4 linked regions of the Cricetulus griseus genome follow. The protein of the gene in region 1 interacts with the protein of each later gene in a pairwise test. Links are inferred from orthologs where the notes say so. Each region holds a gene or a part of one and is shown on either strand. Other genes may lie near its edges.

Evidence for each region.
Region 2: the proteins of Krt15 (region 1) and Zc2hc1c interact in binary tests that used the Homo sapiens proteins (3 or more experiments, as listed by UniProt). The two-hybrid records come from large-scale screens. The link is inferred for Cricetulus griseus from reciprocal best matches to the Homo sapiens genes KRT15 and ZC2HC1C.
Region 3: the proteins of Krt15 (region 1) and Fam110a interact in a two-hybrid assay, tested with the Homo sapiens proteins (2 studies listed by BioGRID and IntAct). The two-hybrid records come from large-scale screens. The link is inferred for Cricetulus griseus from reciprocal best matches to the Homo sapiens genes KRT15 and FAM110A.
Region 4: the proteins of Krt15 (region 1) and Usp2 interact in binary tests that used the Homo sapiens proteins (3 or more experiments, as listed by UniProt). The two-hybrid records come from large-scale screens. The link is inferred for Cricetulus griseus from reciprocal best matches to the Homo sapiens genes KRT15 and USP2.

Annotation. Positions count from the first base shown.
Region 1 is NC_048600.1:112,452,057-112,456,306, forward strand, and holds the start of Krt15 (keratin, type I cytoskeletal 15), read left to right. Parts: upstream 1-1,441; coding exon 1,442-1,930; intron 1,931-2,791; coding exon 2,792-2,874; intron 2,875-2,992; coding exon 2,993-3,149; intron 3,150-3,554; coding exon 3,555-3,716; intron 3,717-3,815; coding exon 3,816-3,941; intron 3,942-4,099; coding exon 4,100-4,250.
Region 2 is NC_048598.1:118,492,742-118,496,886, reverse strand, and holds the start of Zc2hc1c (zinc finger C2HC domain-containing protein 1C), read left to right. Parts: upstream 1-1,338; 5' UTR 1,339-1,449; exon of another isoform or gene 1,450-2,122; intron 2,123-2,200; 5' UTR 2,201-2,219; coding exon 2,220-3,509; intron 3,510-4,145. Other genes in the region: Acyp1 (acylphosphatase-1), read right to left, coding at 911-1,019.
Region 3 is NC_048599.1:28,036,671-28,040,975, forward strand, and holds the start of Fam110a (protein FAM110A), read left to right. Parts: upstream 1-1,498; 5' UTR 1,499-1,712; intron 1,713-4,305.
Region 4 is NC_048597.1:155,764,876-155,769,037, forward strand, and holds the start of Usp2 (ubiquitin carboxyl-terminal hydrolase 2), read left to right. Parts: upstream 1-1,355; 5' UTR 1,356-1,497; intron 1,498-4,162. UniProt on the Homo sapiens protein: Hydrolase that deubiquitinates polyubiquitinated target proteins such as MDM2, MDM4 and CCND1. Isoform 1 and isoform 4 possess both ubiquitin-specific peptidase and isopeptidase activities.

The sequences.
Region 1 (4,250 bases):
AATGGGAATCTTGAGTCTCAGCATGTCCCATAAAGTGAGTGTCCTATACACAAAGAGGCTGAGCCTTGAAAACTGACGAGTACAGATCTTCACAGGAGTCATTCATAGAAATGGGGTTTAAACACAGGCCCAAGGAACGCTGGAGCCCTATTCACTTTCTCGTATTGTAGCTCTCCATTAGAAGCCCTCCTGTGGATTCTCTCCAGTCTGGGTGGCACTGCCCACAGTGCCATTGTCTTAGAGAAATAGGGCTGTTAGAGCTGGTGGCAGAAGACCCTGTCCTTTTTGGCCTCAGTATTGCAGTGACTGATTCCTTGGCCTCTGAGCTCTGATGTGTTCCACCTGCTTGCCAGCCCCCCTTCCTGCCTCCGCCTTCCTCCCTGTACTTAGGCACGCAGAGCAGAGCCTCTAGCTCAGCCCCTCCCCAGCTGGCAGCAGCTGACAAGGCAAATGGGGGTTAATCTGGCCCCTGCTAAGCAGCGACATGTCTCTTGCTGAAGAAGGCGGGGGACTTTCTGGAACTCGCCTGGGTCTTATCTGCAGAGGTTTGCCCCAACGCGTCTTGGGAGCAAGCAGAGGTTCAGTGACATGTGCAGTTGGCTGGTGACAGGACCATCAATCAGACTCCTGTCAGCCTGAGCCTTCTGGGCTTTTGTGAACTAGCCAGGACCCTGGGCTGGGGGGGGAACTGAAGAGGTAGGAGGGACTTCTGGAATTGGGGTGGTGGGAGGGCTGTGAGAGGAGAGAGCATGCCCAGGTATCAGGGATGGGAGAGAGGGACAGGCACCGGCTTTTTTGGTCAACTCGTTTGGAAGTTGACTTGAGACCCTATTAGCCTGCACTGTGGTCACCTGTGTTCTCATTCCCGGGGACTTCCATGTCCCGAAGGCTATGTATAGGGCGTTTGAGTAGGTAGTACAGAGCAGTGGTGGGAGAAACTGAAAGCAGGAAGCTTTCTACCTGGGGTGAGGCTCACATGCCAGCAGTGGGCTGGGGTGGGAGGCAGAGCTGGCCTGGCTGCTCTAACGGGATGGGACATGAGGGAACTTGGGTGCTATGCTGAGGGTTTGCTCTTGTGGCTCTCTTCTCCTTCCTGGAGTGAGAAATGAACCTGTAATCCAAGTGTTAAAACCATGGCCTAGAGCAAAACCCCATTAATTCTGAATCATCTCTCTTGTTGCATTAAGAAAAAAAAAAAAGAAAAGAAAAACTCACCACAAGCGAGCCCTGTGGAGGTGTGCAGGCAGCTGTATTTGTCTGGAAGGCAGAGGAGTTGGCTCCACTCAGGGGGAGGAGGCAAGGCCCCCACCCCCTTGAAACAGTATATAAGGAATCCCAGGCTAGGGGCGACAGCACTGCAGCCTGGTTTCAGCCCAGCTCAGAAGCTCCTGCTAGAGTCCCTCCTGCTTGAAAAGGACACGAAGGCTCAGGCTGCCTGACCATGGCCACCACATTCTTGCAAACTTCTTCCACCTTTGGAGGTGGCTCTACCCGAGGGGGTTCCCTCCGTGCTGGTGGAGGCGGCTTTGGTGGAGGGAGTCTCTACGGGGGAGGTGGGAGCCGAAGCATCTCTGCTTCTTCTGCTAGGTTCGTCTCCTCGGGGGCAGGAGGGGGATATGGGGGCGGTATGAGTTGTGGTTTTGGTGGTGGTGCTGGTAGCGGTTTTGGTGGAGCCTTTGGTGGGGGTTTTGGTGGTGGCTTTGGTGACTTTGGTGGTGGCGATGGAGGTCTCCTCTCTGGCAATGAGAAGATCACCATGCAGAACCTCAATGACCGCCTGGCCTCCTACCTGGACAAAGTACGTGCCCTGGAGCAGGCTAACACGGAGCTGGAGGTGAAAATCCGAGACTGGTACCAGAAGCAGAGCCCAGCCAGTCCGGAGCGAGACTACAGCCATTACTTTAAGACCATGGAAGAGATCCGGGACAAAGTAAGTCCTCATATATATGTCAGACAGAGGGAAACAGGCAGTAGGTGCCCTGTACACATATGCAACAGCAACATTGCTGTTGACTAAGAGAGTCCTTCCCTGCTGTGTAACCTGGCAAGGCTGGGATGCACCTGCTTCCCAGGCACATGTGGGAACACACGTGTTCCACTTGGCAGTGCTGGGGGAGGGGAGGGAGTGGTCTTGGGAATCTGATTTGGATACACAGGATTGCAAATGAGGGCAACAAAAGAGAGCAGCTCCTTCTCCCTGCCTCACAAAAACTTTCAGGGATTTTTGCAACTGATTGCTTTAACTTTGTGACCCGTGTGCTGTTCAGGCACAACCTCAAGAGTCCTAAATGCCAGGGCTGTTTACTTCAGGCCTCAAGGATGTCTTTATTGTTGATCATTGCTAGATCTTAGGAGACCAGGGAACTCAGTGGAGGCTGTGCCACCCCCTCACTTTCCCTTTTAACTAACTGGATCTGTTTTCCTTAGTGGCAAACACGTTCCTTAGCTGCTGTCCAAGTTCCCAATGACTGCAATGTTTTGGAGATGAAGGGCTCTGTCAAGGCACGCAGGAGGCAGCCACTGTGAGCTGTGCCCAAGTAGGCTGGTATAGTGTGTCTCCCGAGAGTCCTGACCTGACAGAGCCAACTGTATCCATTGCAGCACGGTCTTGACTAGCCATGCCCCCAGGCAATCCCAGGCAATACTGCCTCGTTAGTTTTCCATTCCTTGAAGATGCCACAGGGAAGGGAGCATGGGCCAGCACAACTGATGCACACAGGAAGAGAAGCTGGGCAGTAGTTGGCGAAGGGGGTCGTGCAGCAGCCCTAAGGTACAACTCTGTCTCCTGCAGATACTGGCGGCCACCATTGACAACTCGCGTGTCATCTTGGAGATTGACAATGCCAGGCTGGCAGCGGATGACTTCAGGCTCAAGTGTGTTCCCATTTCTCCACCCCTGTCCATTTCACCCCCTCTACCTAGCCTTCCTCCTCTATGACTCAGAACCTGGGCCCCTCACCTTTCCTGACTTTGGCTCCTCTCCCCTCCCCAGGTATGAGAACGAGCTGGCCCTGCGCCAGAGTGTGGAGGCCGACATCAACGGGCTGCGCAGGGTGCTAGACGAGCTGACCCTGGCCAGGACCGACCTGGAGATGCAGATTGAGCACTTGAATGAGGAGCTGGCCTACCTGAAGAAGAATCACGAGGAGGTAACAGCAAGACAGGGTGGTAGGAAGAAGCCCAGGACAGCCAGTCTTTTGTCACAGTCCTCTGAGGGCTTGGGGATTAAGAAATGTACCTGGGGGGCCCCATGGAAGAGAAGGGGCACTAATCTCTGGTAATCTGGACCCAAGGCCAAGCCATGTGTGAACTGCAGAATTGGTTTGCTTCATGGGCTTATTATCTCAAGGTCCTTGTTTCTTAGGACCCAGAGCAAGAGAGATCCTCAGAACTGAGGGGTCCATGTGTTCCAATGGGGAATAGAGATAGGGTGGTGTGATGTGCTAAGGTCACATTGTGAGTTAGAGACAGTCAGAGTTAGCCCTCAGGACTCTCGATTCTTTGTCTGCTTTATAGCCTTGTCTCTAAATGGTTGTCACTCCCACCCCTTGCAGGAGATGAAAGAGTTCAGCAGTCAGCTGGCGGGCCAGGTCAATGTGGAGATGGACGCTGCACCTGGGGTGGACTTGACCCGCATGCTGGCCGAGATGAGGGAACAATATGAGGCCATTGCGGAGAAAAACCGTCGGGATGCAGAGGCCTGGTTCTTCAGTAAGGTGGGCCTGACACCCCCAGCTCTGCTCTCTCCCTCCTTCCCACTCCAGAGGCCTCTGAGGAGGCCCATGAGGCTCATGTTTCTCATGTGTGACTTGCAGACGGAAGAGCTGAACAAGGAGGTAGCTTCCAACACAGAAATGATCCAGTCCAGCAAGACGGAGATCACAGACCTGAGGCGCACCATGCAGGGGCTGGAGATCGAGCTGCAGTCCCAGCTCAGCATGGTACGGTCACTCTCTCCCTACTGGGTGACACATGGCCAGTAAAGCCTCACCTCACACATTCCTGTCACCTCAGGCAGTCCTTACCACCCTTCCTGCTCTTCTCCCTCCAGTGGGTTGCCTTCTAGCCCAATGGGTTTATGCATCTGTCACCCCACCAGAAAGCCGGGCTGGAGAACTCTCTGGCAGAGGTGGAGTGCCGCTATGCCACACAGCTGCAGCAGATCCAGGGGCTTATTAGCAGCCTGGAGAGCCAGCTGAGCGAGCTCCGCTGTGAGATGGAAGCTCAGAACCAGGAATATAACATGCTGC
Region 2 (4,145 bases), on another chromosome or scaffold:
CTCTGTGAGTGTGTGTGTGTGCAGGCCTATATTCTAGCCTGGGGGAATCTAAGGCAAGAGGATTAAACAGGCAGGAGGGCTAAACAGTGCTAACAGCGGGCTAAATAGGGAGCCTGTCTGGAAATAAGCAGCTAACAAAAGAAAACAGGAGAAACAAGTGGGATCCTAACATAGAGGAGACAGGTTCAGAGAAGTGAAACTTGTTTTGCATGAGGAAGTTATGCGTATTTTAAAAACAGAGATTAAGATGAAGAGTATTGAAATTAGTTAAAAAGGTCGCACAGGAGAAAACCACAGTAGAAGACTGAAGCCGGGGAAGCTGAGATTTACCGGGACCGAGTCAGTGGGAAAAGTCTGCAAATGTGGAGAGGCAAAAGAGAACTGGGAACGAAAACAATGACTGACAATCTGCCCTAGAGAGCCCACCAAGGAATTTCTTTGTAGCGCATAAAAGCTGACATCTGATATGCTGAAGTATTAACGAGACTGCTGTCCACTTTATTTCCCACGTGCACGGATCTTCTGCTTAGTTACAGGAAAAAAAAACCGGAGCTGTCTGTTCCAAAAAGCTTATCCAAATGAACTGAAGCACGAAGAAGACAAATAAACTGTCTTCTGATGTCAAAAAGTTGGAGGGATCATTTAATGTTGAAATCAAGTTATGCTCATTATTGTCGATCTGGTAGTTAACTTTATTATCATTACATTTGGCTGAGTCATTCCTGGGCCCTAAGTAGAAACGGTCAGATTTGCCACGTGAGAGTAAAACGTTAAAAGAGCAAAATGATTAGATTGGCCTTAGAAACTACTCTGGAACGATAACGAAAGAATAGTAAATCTAAAGCAAGTGCCAAAGCATTGAGAGGGAAGACAGCCCAGGAGCATGTAGCCTGAAGCTTTGTAGCCCTACCTGGGGCCTGGGCGCAGCAGCCAAATGCGCTCAGAAGAGCGATCAGCAGTCCCACTCCCGCTAGCCAGGCGAACCCCCAATCCTGTGGCCGGTTGACTCCGCAGCCCATCTAGGGGCCCCACCCTTCTCCAGACACGGGCACACCCTAAGGTCTGGGAGCATCATCTCAGAGAGATGCAAGTTCTTCTTTGATGTAGCTCCAGAAAAGCCTCTCCTACCCTTGCTCCTCTCCCCAAGGGCAGCGCTGATCTGAGCTGCAGAGTTGGCTGCATTCTGTGTCAGGTGACCCTTCTGCACCCACACCCCACCTTTCTGCATCCCAAACCCGCCCGGGCAGCTCCGGACCGCTTGTGGACTGCGCCTGCGCACGTCCGGGGGCTGGAAGGTCGCAACCAGAGGTGGCGCTCTGGTCTCCAGGCAACGGGGATACCGAGGTGGACAGAGAGCGCCTGCGCGGACAGCGGTTGGGTGAAGTCAGGTGTGGAAAACTAGGTCTTGGAGATTTTTCCCTAAGCAGGAGCGGCCCCCGAGCGCCTCAGGTACGCGAAAAGGAGGGGAGACACCGAATGGATACCACGACCTCCCAAGGGACTGAAGAGTGAGAGTTTATCTCTAGAGGCTGTGTCCCAAGGAGAGTTACGGTTTGACCCCCTGGGACTGAACGTGACTTCCGAGATCCGGATCTAAAGCGCGCTGGGGCGATCAGGTGTCCACCCCCTGGCCCAACACCCTGGTACCCGGTGCGGTTTGTGCCATCGGACATTTGGGGATGAGTGTTTGACAGCTGAGCACCCGCTTCCAGCCCGGGCGGCCCCAGCAGGGGAGAGCCCAGGGAGAGCTTTCCCTCGCGGGGCCAAGGCTCTCCCTCACCCTGTAAAAATGTGGGCCTGGACTCAGAGCGGACTCTGCAGTTTGCGAGAACCGGGGCTAGTAAGGAACAGGCTGCCTGCTTTTTTTGTTTTGTTTTGTTTTGTTACAGATGACCTTCAATCTAAGGCCATTTCCACCCATTCCATAATAGTGTATGGCAGATCAGATACGGGTGTGGCAGAAAGCCAGTGGCTGAACACCTGTGTCCCGTTCATGTTTTGGTCCTGGGCCTCAGCAATGTCTGGCACAGAACCCTCACTCACTGAGTGCGTACTGAAGCAAGGTCCAGGCCGATCGAGCGCCACAGTCCCAGGAAACGAGAAATGTTTAAAGGGAACGTGGGTAGGTAGGTTTACTCTAGCAGCTGGGAGTGAACCTCAGACAAATTCTTCACATGTATCTGTTTTAAATCTCCCCTAGGCATCGGTCCAGGCCCTGAATGGCTGGCCTCCAGTTGGCTCCACATCTGCCTGTGGGCGTTATGTTCCCACATAGTAAAACAGAAGCGCCAGGGCTCCACTCAGCTAAGCACGACCCTTACGAACAACGTGACTCTTCCCAGCGGTCCTCGGTGGGACACTTGAGGAACAATTTCCAGCAGAAGCATTGGAGCAACACAGAACTGGAGCAGGAGGAGGGTGTCTCCACTTACCCCCAAAGGAACATCTGCGCCAAAGCCCGGAGGCACTCCTGCCCCCACAGTGCCAGGATCAGCCAGCGAAGCCCAGGGAGCAATCCCCAGGGCCAAGGAAAGGCTTTGTCTTCCTTGTCAAGCCCTCCGCCCCGGTATCACAAAGCAAACGACCAGGACTTCATTCCCTTTAGGAAGAAGCGAATTGGCGTGGACCGGGCATACCCACTGAAACCCATGGTCCACCGGAAGTCTCTCAGTACAGGCGAGGCAGGCACTGGTGATGGAGACCAGAATGTCTACCCAAGACTTCCTGAGTTTTCAGACAGCAACTTTGGTTTGAGGAGCTGGGTGAATTCATCTATTCTTGCCTCTGTGCAGGCAGAGGAGGTCATGGCAGACCTCCACAGGACCAGGCCCGAGTGGACGCAGATCCAAAGACTAGAAGCTGCAGGGGAGACTTTACAGAGGGAAATCCGAAGGAAGGAGACCCTCCTGAGAGAGAAGCTGAAGAAGACAGAGGAGGGTCTCCGAAGGATCCAGAAGGAAAAGAAACAGGCCCAGCAAAATGAAGACAGAGAGCTACCAAGGATGATGCCTGCCGGGAGAGTTAGAGAAAGTGGCTGCAATGCCGCCTTATCCCCCGAGTTCAGTTCTGAGATGCTCAGTAGAAACAGGAGAGAGGCTCAACCTTGTGAACGGGCTCAGGAAGACTCCAGTCCACTCCAGTTCTCTGACTATGAAATCCAGAGGCTCAAAAGGGAAAGGCTGATGGCCAGCAACCGCAAGGTGCGAGACTCAGCGACACCGGCAGAAGAGTTCTCGAAACCTTCAGAAGAGCTGGGTAGCACACCGCAGGCATCAAGCCTGTCGGGAACGCCGGCCTCCTCGGAGTCCAGCTCCTCCACAGAAGAGCCAGAGCTGGGCAAGTGCAGCTACTGTGGACGCACGTTTCTTTGGCTCAGGCTGCAGAGACACTCTGCCGTCTGTGGCAAGATGCAAGGGTCCAGGAGGAAAGTGTTTGACTCCTCCAGGGCCCGGGCTAAAGGCACAGAACTAGAGCAGTTCTTGAACTGGAAGGGGCCAGCCACAGCCAAGGTAATAAAAGCCTCCTGGATCTGACTTGGTATGGGGGTGCGTGTGATGGCCCGCTGTGTCCTCACCGGTTTCCAATGGGGAACTGGGATCATGTAGGGTGGAGGGGAGAATCACAACTTCTGTTTGCTAGTCTCTGTGATCAGAGCTTTTCGTAGGCGCTTCACAATTCCGTGAGAATCTTACCGCCTCTCATTGTATCCTTTCAAAACTCAAGGCTCGGACATCCCCTAAACACATATGCACACTCAACACATACCAGACCCATCCACACACACACCAGACCCCCCCCCACACACACACACACAAAGCTTGAATGGTTCTATCTATTGTGTTGTCCTCAGGGACCTGTAGGTGCCAGATAACCAGTCTATTGCTGATCAGTAGTCCCGTCCCCGTCCCCCCCCGCCCCGTCTCCCCTCCTATCCCCCCACCCCCCGCTCTTGAGTTAGTTACTCTCTTCACACCTTTATGAGGTGGGGGGGTCAATATTTAAATCTTACTAAAATTGACACCAAAATCTGGACTTTAAAATATATCCTTTTGATTATTGTAAAACGAATTCATGTTTGCTGCAGGAAAAAAAAAAAAAAACAAGACATAAAATGAAATTTTAAAACTTGCATTTTATGTTAAAAC
Region 3 (4,305 bases), on another chromosome or scaffold:
CCCATGAATAGTTGGGCAGCAGATTGGACTTGGTGGGTTATAAAAAACAAAAGGAAAGGAAGGAGAGAATGAGGATGGATGTAGGAGGAGTTGGGGGGGAAAGTGGAGCAAATATGATCAAAATACATTGTATGTATGTATGTATGTATGTATGTATGACATTCTCAAAGAGTGAATGGAAGCATATTTAAATGCAAAAGAGTTAGCTGCTGTTTTGTAAATAGGAGATGCTTTTTGTATGAATAATATGGTTATGTATTTACTACCTATTCATGCTGTAAGGAGTGCTTTGAAACATGCTTAAAACATAACACTATGGGGCTGCAGAGATGGCTTAGTGTTTGAGAGCACTGGCTGCTCTTCCAGAGGACCTAGGTTCAGTTCCTAGCACCCACATGGCAGCTCATAACTGTCTGTAACTCTAGTTCCAGGGGATCCAACAGTTATATAGACATACATGCAGGCAAAACATCAATGCATATAAAATTAAAAATAAATAAAATTTAAAAATCCGGCAACACTTCCTAGCATTCCTCCATTATTTTAAAATGCTATTTAATTGCATCATTTTAAGTTACTGCATAATATTCCTAACCAGAAAAATGTAGATAGTTGAAGGTAGGTATTGATAAGATTTATGTAGAAAGATCAATTTAGCTTCTTCCCAGGATGGATATTATATACTGTAATTGGCCTGATTTTTTTTTTTTTTTCTGTTTTGGTTTTTTCGAGACAGGGTTTCTCTGTGGCTTTGGAGGTTGTTCTGGAACTAGCTCTTGTAGACCAGGCTGGTCTTGAACTCACAGAGATCCTCCTGCCTCTGCCTCCCGAGTGTTGGGATTAAAGGCGTGCGCCACCAACGCCCGGCTATTGGCCTGATTTTGATAAGCATTGTGGGAATTACTGGTGTGCACGTTTGAAAACTAACTGAATTACCATTGCAGTAGGGTAATGGAGAGGGAGAGGGGATCCTGGAAAACACAGAGAGGAAGCTGCAGAGTTGGGAGCAGGACCTAGGTTGGCTGCTGGGCAAGTAATACCAACTCGTCGGTACGCTGAGGCAGGCAGATAACAAGTTTGAGGGCTACTTGGACCACAGCGTGAATTTAAGGTCAGCTTGGGCAACTTAGTGAGACCCTGTCTCAAAAGAAAAAAGTGAAGAGAGGCCAGTATGTGCTAGCTATATGTCAAGGCCCTTCCTAAAAAAGAAAAAAAAAAAAATGGGACTAGGGCCGGTGCAAAACCAAACAAATCTGGGACTAGCAACTCCTGCAGGTGGGGACCGAGGGAATCCCAGCTGGACGAGAAGAAGAAGAAAGGGAACGCATTGGCCGGCAGGGCCGGGGCAGCCGGAAGGCCGCGCGGCCAGCTGGGCTCCTGGCGGCCACCGTGGGCCAGCCCCGCTCCCATCTGCTGCTCCTGAGGTTGCCTGGCAACTCGGGTGGCGCGCCGTTCGAACGGAAGCGAAGGGCCAATCAGGAAGTCCGGGGCGAACCATTGCAGCGACGGGGACCGCTCGCTCACTTCCCTTTCCTCCGGGCTCTGGGGACCTTCGTCCGGCAGGACGGTAGGACAGCCAAGGCCTGCCTCTCGGAAGAGCCCGCCTGTCTCAACACGCGACGGCCGCCTCAGAGCTCTGGGACCAAGCGCTCCAGCTGTCAGCCTCGGCAGCTCGCGAGAAGCGCGGGGGACCCTCCAGACACAGGCGGCAGGTGAGCATGGGGGTAAGGGGGCTCACAGGGTCTGGGGTAGGTCCACGCACCATTCGAGGCGAGTGTGCCAGCACAGAGGGCTGACCGAGGGTCCACGTCTATCTAGTGTCCAGCCCAGGGGGCCAGCGGAGGATCCGGCTGTTCCCCTGTCCCACCCTGCAGCCTCCACTCCAGGCAGATTTTCTTTGAGAGGTTCAGAGGGCCCCTGCTGGTCACTCTCAGGGGCTTGTTGAATGTGGCTTATGGGATCTCAGGGCTAGGCTACCTCTACCCCAACTGTCTTTGGAGTTTCCCTTCAGGACATATGGCCTTCCGTTCCTCAGGGACTCTGGCAACTTTTCTGCCTGAATGGTCCGGAATCCCAGTGCTGCCCTCTCAGAGGGCCTCCCTGGGGGGCAGGCTAGATTCCGGAGGACAGAAAATCCAAATGCCCTGGAAGTCATGTGGGCCTCTTGGGAGTCTGTTCCTGTGTGTGGTGTGTAGTGTGTGTGTGTGTGTGTGTGTGTGTGTGTGTGTGTGTGTGTGTGTGTGTACTTTGGTGTGTGTGTACTTTGTGTGTTGGAGGCGGGTGGATCAGCCTCTAAGCCAGAGTTGCTAGTCACTGGACTTTAGAGTTGGGTGCTGGGTAGGCCCTCCCAAATGGAGCATATAATTTAGGCTGCCTATGTTCCCCGCTCAGGTTGCTGTCTGTTGTTGATCTCTTTTCATAGATGGGGAAACTGAGGTTCTGAGAAGTTGAGCCCATTGCTCAAAGTCACAGTCTTACCTATTCAGAGAAGAACTGGATTTGATGGAGGGCCTCTTTTGTGGGGAACTGCTCATCCTCCACTCCTCATTCTGGCTCTGGGGGTAGTCTGTGTTTGCCTGTCTGTCCATGTGTCATCTCCTCCTACCCTGAGGGTCTTGTGTGGCCCAAGTTGGCTTCAGTCTTACTATGTATACTAGGCTGGTCTTGAACGTCCCCCTGAATCTGTCTTCTCTGATGACAAGCATGGGTCCCCACTACACCAGTTTTTTTGTCATTTTTAGGATGAAACCCAGGGCTTGGTGCGTGCTAAGCAAGCACTCTACCAACTGTGTTACACCCACTGAACATATACCTCCTGAGCCTACACCCCCTGCCTCATTTGTTCTTTCTACATTGTTTGGCTTCCTGTGGCCGCCTTGTTTTTCTCAGTAGTGTCTGTTCCACATTGTACACTAGGTGTCTTACTAGGCAGTTTATTGTCTTCTCCACTTGAATGTGTCAGACAGGTAAGATGCTTAGCACAGTCACAAAATGTCAGGGTGCCCGAAACTTCCAGAACCAAGATGATCAAAGCCAACGTCTGTTGGCCATTTGCTATGTTTTGTGCCAGGGGTGGAGCAGGGTAGGGTGATGTCAGCTCTGGCAGACTCTGGCAAGCACAGGCATGGATGTTACACACACACACACACACACACACACACACACACACACACACACACGCATTCTGCACCCTCCCACCCCATCCAGCTACCTCATTTTTAGGCAAAATGACAGGTGCTACATTGCGGCCATGGCTTGTTGCAAGCGGGAACTGGACAGATGCATAGTGGCCAGTAGGGGCTGATGAGAAATAACCGGAAACTCCTTAAGTACTGATGTGGCACCAAGAGGAACGTGGGTTACCCAGCAAAGGCGCTGAGTGAAAATGACACACACGACACACTTTGTAGTTTCGACCGTGGGACAGCTAATTCAGAAGCCACTAAGTAGACATGGTGATTACATCTCCAGAAAGCTATGAGGTCACTGCTCTGCCTGTGATTTGTCACTGGCTGTGTGACTTTGGGCAAGTTTCTTCACATTCTGAGCTGGGGATAAACACTGCATGTGAGCTCAGGCCTAGACAGGGTACTGTAGGACAGGAAATGGGCGTGGCCACAGGTCTAACTCAAGCCTTACCTTCCCAGCCTTTCCCTTCCTTCTCCCTCTTCCACTGTAAATCTGCCTTTGCTCCCATTTTGTCAGGGTGCAAACTGAGTCCCCAAAGTTTGAATTAGAGGAGGAGCATATATTGGGGGCGGGGGTCCGTAAAGACGCTCACTGTCCTAGGCATCCACACCCACTCATAACCCTCTCCCTGAGGTTCGTGCAAAGCCACTCTGAGCAAGGCTGCCTCATAGGCAGGCTGGGGCATGATCCTGGGGAAAACTCCAGAAATAGCTTGGAACCTGGCCTGCCCTGGAGAATGCCCAGTCGGGTGTCTCTGACCTGGACAGCTGGGCTGGCTCTACCCCACTGCCTGGAGCCTTCTTGATCCTCCTCAGCAGCAACTAAAGGCCTCCCTGTCTACCAAGCCTGAGCCAGGTTTCCTTTGAAAGGACAGAGGAGCAGGTGGGGTGGTGCAAAATGTCGTAAAAATGGTCAACCCTAGAAACCCACCTTCTTCGGGGAAGAAAGGAAGCAAAGGGAAGAGTGAACACACAGCTGCTTGGGCTCAGACCACTTGCAATGTACTCCGTATTTTACCATTCTGAGTTGCGATGTACCTCCACCCTATGAAGTGAGGGGCTTACTGCTTTTATTCCATGAACACATATTCCACATAACAGGCATGTGGAAGTCAGA
Region 4 (4,162 bases), on another chromosome or scaffold:
CTTTTTAAAAAATCAAGAGGGGGGAAAAATTCAAGATTTGCCTTGGCTTTTTCTTTAAGAGGAAGCCCAGCAGAGTTAGCATTTCACTTTTGTTTTTACATGTGTTTGTTTGTACGTGCACATGTAGCAGTCAGAGAACAAACCCACATGAGTTGGTTCTCTCCTTCCACCTCATGAATTCTGGAAAGCAAACTGAGGTTGTCAGGCTTGGTGGCAAGTGCTTTTATCCACTAGACATCCTTATGGCCAACTTCTGCTTTTTCTGAAGAGTTCAGAGAATTCTTCCCATTGACGTGGTTACCAACTCCAGTCATCATTCACCACTAGCCCTACACAAATAAAAAGAGCAGGGTGCCTTTAAGAGTGACTGATTCCTTAAGGATATTATCCAACTAATCAATAAATAAATAACTTTTAGAAGTCAGGTTTACTTAAGATTAAAATACAAGTTGCCTCTCTTTTTATTCTAATGCTAATAGCATAAAATATTTATCCTTTATTGGGGCAAGTCACCAAATGAACCACCATACTGTGCTGGAATTTACTACCTATCTGTATGTGTTCTCCCTAGGCTTCAGCTACATCGTGCAGCAGATGGCTATAATAGTGGTTCTCATTTTACAGGACCACTAAAAAGATTAAGTGAGAAAACTAATGCATGCAAAATACTCGTCACAGTGTCTAATAAGTAATGCACTAAATAAGTAGCCCATAGGATGAGTTGTTTGAATGGAAATGTGATAGTATCATGTCGAACAGACATAATCTTCCTTATCTGTTTATTATTGTTGTTATTATTGATTTATCTGCTAGGATTTTTATTATTTATCTGATCGATTGGGCTCCGTAAATATTGTTATGACATGTACTTGATTGTTCGTTTAAATAAATGCATTTTTAAATATAAATAAATAAAATGAAAGGGTAGGCATAAAGAAAAGAGCCTGTAGAATAGATCATTCCCGGCCCGGTAGGAAAGCGTGGAGGAACATTAAGCCTTCCCTAAAAGCTGAAAGCTGATATGCCGCCTTCTCCCGTGACGTGACCGTCTGTCTCAGTCCTTCCAACCGCCCGGACCTGTTACATTCCAGTCCACTTCTTTCCTTGCGCCACCGGCTCCAAACAGGCGTGCTTTTGCTGCACGTGGTTCTCTGTATATAGTGGTTGCCTGGGAGATTCACGCAGGGCGGGGCCCCATTGACGCCACAATAGGAACAAGCCAATAGCCATGACGTATATCAGTGATGCGAACTCGGGGTGTGGCTTTCCCGGCCCGGGCGCAATGAGGCGGCTGCCCGCTGGGTGGCGCCGATTTCCCGGGGAGGTCCTTTCTGGGCCCCCGGCGGAGGTGGGGGAGAGGCGGGCAAGCACCGAGCGAGGCCAGGGAGCCCTCTGCGTCAGCCACAGCTCGCTGCGCCGCGCCAGTACCAGCCAGGACTCATCCGCAGCTCCATGCTTGTGCCGGGTTCGACTCGTCCATCCTCCGAGAAGAGGCAGGTACGTGCCACCTGTCGCAGATCGGGGAAGGGGAAAGCCGGGGTCGGTGCCAGCTTGGAGGTTCGGAAAGTAGGGTGTCAACGACAGCCTGGGCAGTCTGGACATGAGAAATGTAGGGCGAGGGCCAACTGTGCGGGGGAACTCCAGCTGTGGGTGCCAGTGTGTGAGAGGGACTGACAGCTGACAGCTCGGGGTGCCAGGAAGAGCCATCTGTGTGCTGATCAATGTGTTCTGAGGAAACAGTTACCGCGGGTACAGGTCCCCGTGCCCGGTGTGGTGTGTAGCCTGAGAATGACGCCTGGACCCTGACACCCCCCTCTCCCCACGTGTGCGTGCAGCTACCTCCCTCCCTGATGTCAAACCTCCTGGGGCTGTCTCTGGTCAGTTTTCCAAAGCGGGGGAAGGGGGCTCAGGGGGAAGCCAGCAGTTAAACGGAAGGGAAATTTTCCACCAATCCCAAATCAGAAAGAGGCAACTTTAAAATTCTCACCAATCCCAAAGCAAAAGCAGCCATGCAGTGTTCCCAGACAAGCAGCTTGCCAAGCGGAGTCCTGGCCAAGCCCTTCTAGCTCTTCAGAGAAGGGAGAACTCTTAGCTCTTGACCCCCAGTGCTTTTGAGAATGAGGTTGCAATGAAGATCTCAGTAGGGGCTGCTTATCTCTCCAAATGTAAGGAAAAGCACACACATCAATCCGCCTACAAAACAAGAGGCATGGAGAACTAGTAGGTGGGCTAGAATAGAGGGTGTCCCCTACTCTTTGATGCTGTAGGTGCAAGCCACTCTGGAATGAGGACTGGAATGAGGGCGTCCTCTGGAGTGCATAGTCAGGACCCAGTCTGAGTCAGTACCCCGTGCTGAGACAGGGTGGAGGCACCAGCCCTGGGGCCTTCCAGTCTTCAGGGAGAGCCATCAAGAAACAGAAGAATCGTCTTGGGAGCAGACAGGTGCACCAAGACCAGAGAGTCCCTCCTCTAGTAATCCCTGTCCAGCCTGCCTTTGCCGCCCTGGAACCCTGAGTCCTCCAACAGGTAGACTGGGACTGCCCCTCTGGAGCTAGGCATTTTCCTGGCAGCCCAGGGAAACCGCACTTGATATTTTTTTCTGAGCAAAGGGGAAAGAAGCCCAAGTAGGCTTGGCCTATCGCCTTGGGAAGGTGGCAAGATTCGTCTACCCTTTCCATTTTGGGGACTGGGCTAGTTCAGAAAACCACAGGACTGGTCTCTGGCATCAGAGCAATTCCCCGAGGGGGTGCCCTGAGGCCTTTTTCTTCTAGGAAGGGTCACCTTCTAGGAAAGGTTGCCTGCTACTGCTAACATTAGTAGTAAGTAATTAGATAAGAAATGGAAATAATCAATAAGATTGCCATTTATTGAACTCTTGCTATGTTCAAGGAAGCTTAAAACTATGATTTTTGTCCTCATCACTGTGAGGCATACCATAATCACTATTGTTGTTATTCGTAGTTTTTTTCGTTTGTTTGTTGGTGCATTCATTTGGGTTTTTGTTTGTTTTTGGTTTTTTCAAGACAGGGTTTTTCTGGGTATCCCTGGCTTTCTGCTTTGTAGACTGGTGGTCCTTAAATTCATAGATCTTCCTGCCTCTGCCTCCCATTGGGATTAAAGGCCTGTGTGCCACCAGCCCTAGTTCTATTGTTCGGGTTTTACAAATTACATAGCTAAGATTCAGAGAGCCTACCTTAGATCCAATAAGGGGAAGGATGGGAATTCAGGCCCAGACCTAGAGGTCCACAATTAAAAAAAAAAAAAAAAAATAGTGGACTGAAACTTGAATGCTGATCCCAAGCACATCTCTGCCCATGTGTCCTGGAGCAGGTCCTCCCCATCTCAGAATCCCTTGCAACTGGACTCGCAGTTTGGCCTGTTCCTGTTCACTCAGTCTGTGACTGACAGCTCTAGAGAATCCACCTTCTCCATGTTTGGGACTCCAATTCAGCCCCAGCCCTCTGCTCTATTCCCTCTTGATCCTTCCTGTTTTAGTTCCAAATATCCCCTCCCAGGATTCTAGCTGGTTCTCCTCAGCTATCACCCGGCCACTGGGCATCAGGTGGAAGGTGGGCATGTCACTGCCCCTTTAATTCTCCTGGGGCTTGGAATGCAAGTGAGTTGCCATCTCTTCGAGGTCAGATAAGATACTATATATATCTAGCTAGTAACCTGAGCTCCGGATTACCCAGCCCCAGTTAGACTCCAGCTTCTGGACTCTACACTGCGGTCCCATCACTGCTGGGAAAGAAACCCCCAGCTCCCATCCAGTGCTCCTGGACACAGGTCAGTAGCTCTCTCTTTGGTCTCTGAGTTTCAAGGGCAACCGAGTGACCCAAGTAAGCCCTGAGTGAGTTTGGAGGAGCATGATAGACGCCACCCACTGGCCTGGTGATCGCAGTAACCAAGCCTGAATGCTCAAGATAGAGAACAGAGGACAGCTGATGCCCTAATGGGAAAGAGATAGGATTCTGTCCAAAGAAGGGGGCACTGGGAGGGTACCTGAGCATAGGAGGATAAGAAAGAGAATTGAAAGGTATCTCTGCTTCCAGGAAGCCTGTTTCTTTGCCTTTTTTTGGACTTACAGAGATAACCACCCTTCCCAACCCCTGGGCCTACCCACTTCTTCTCCACAAGTCAGGGTGGCTATTGTCATCTCTTT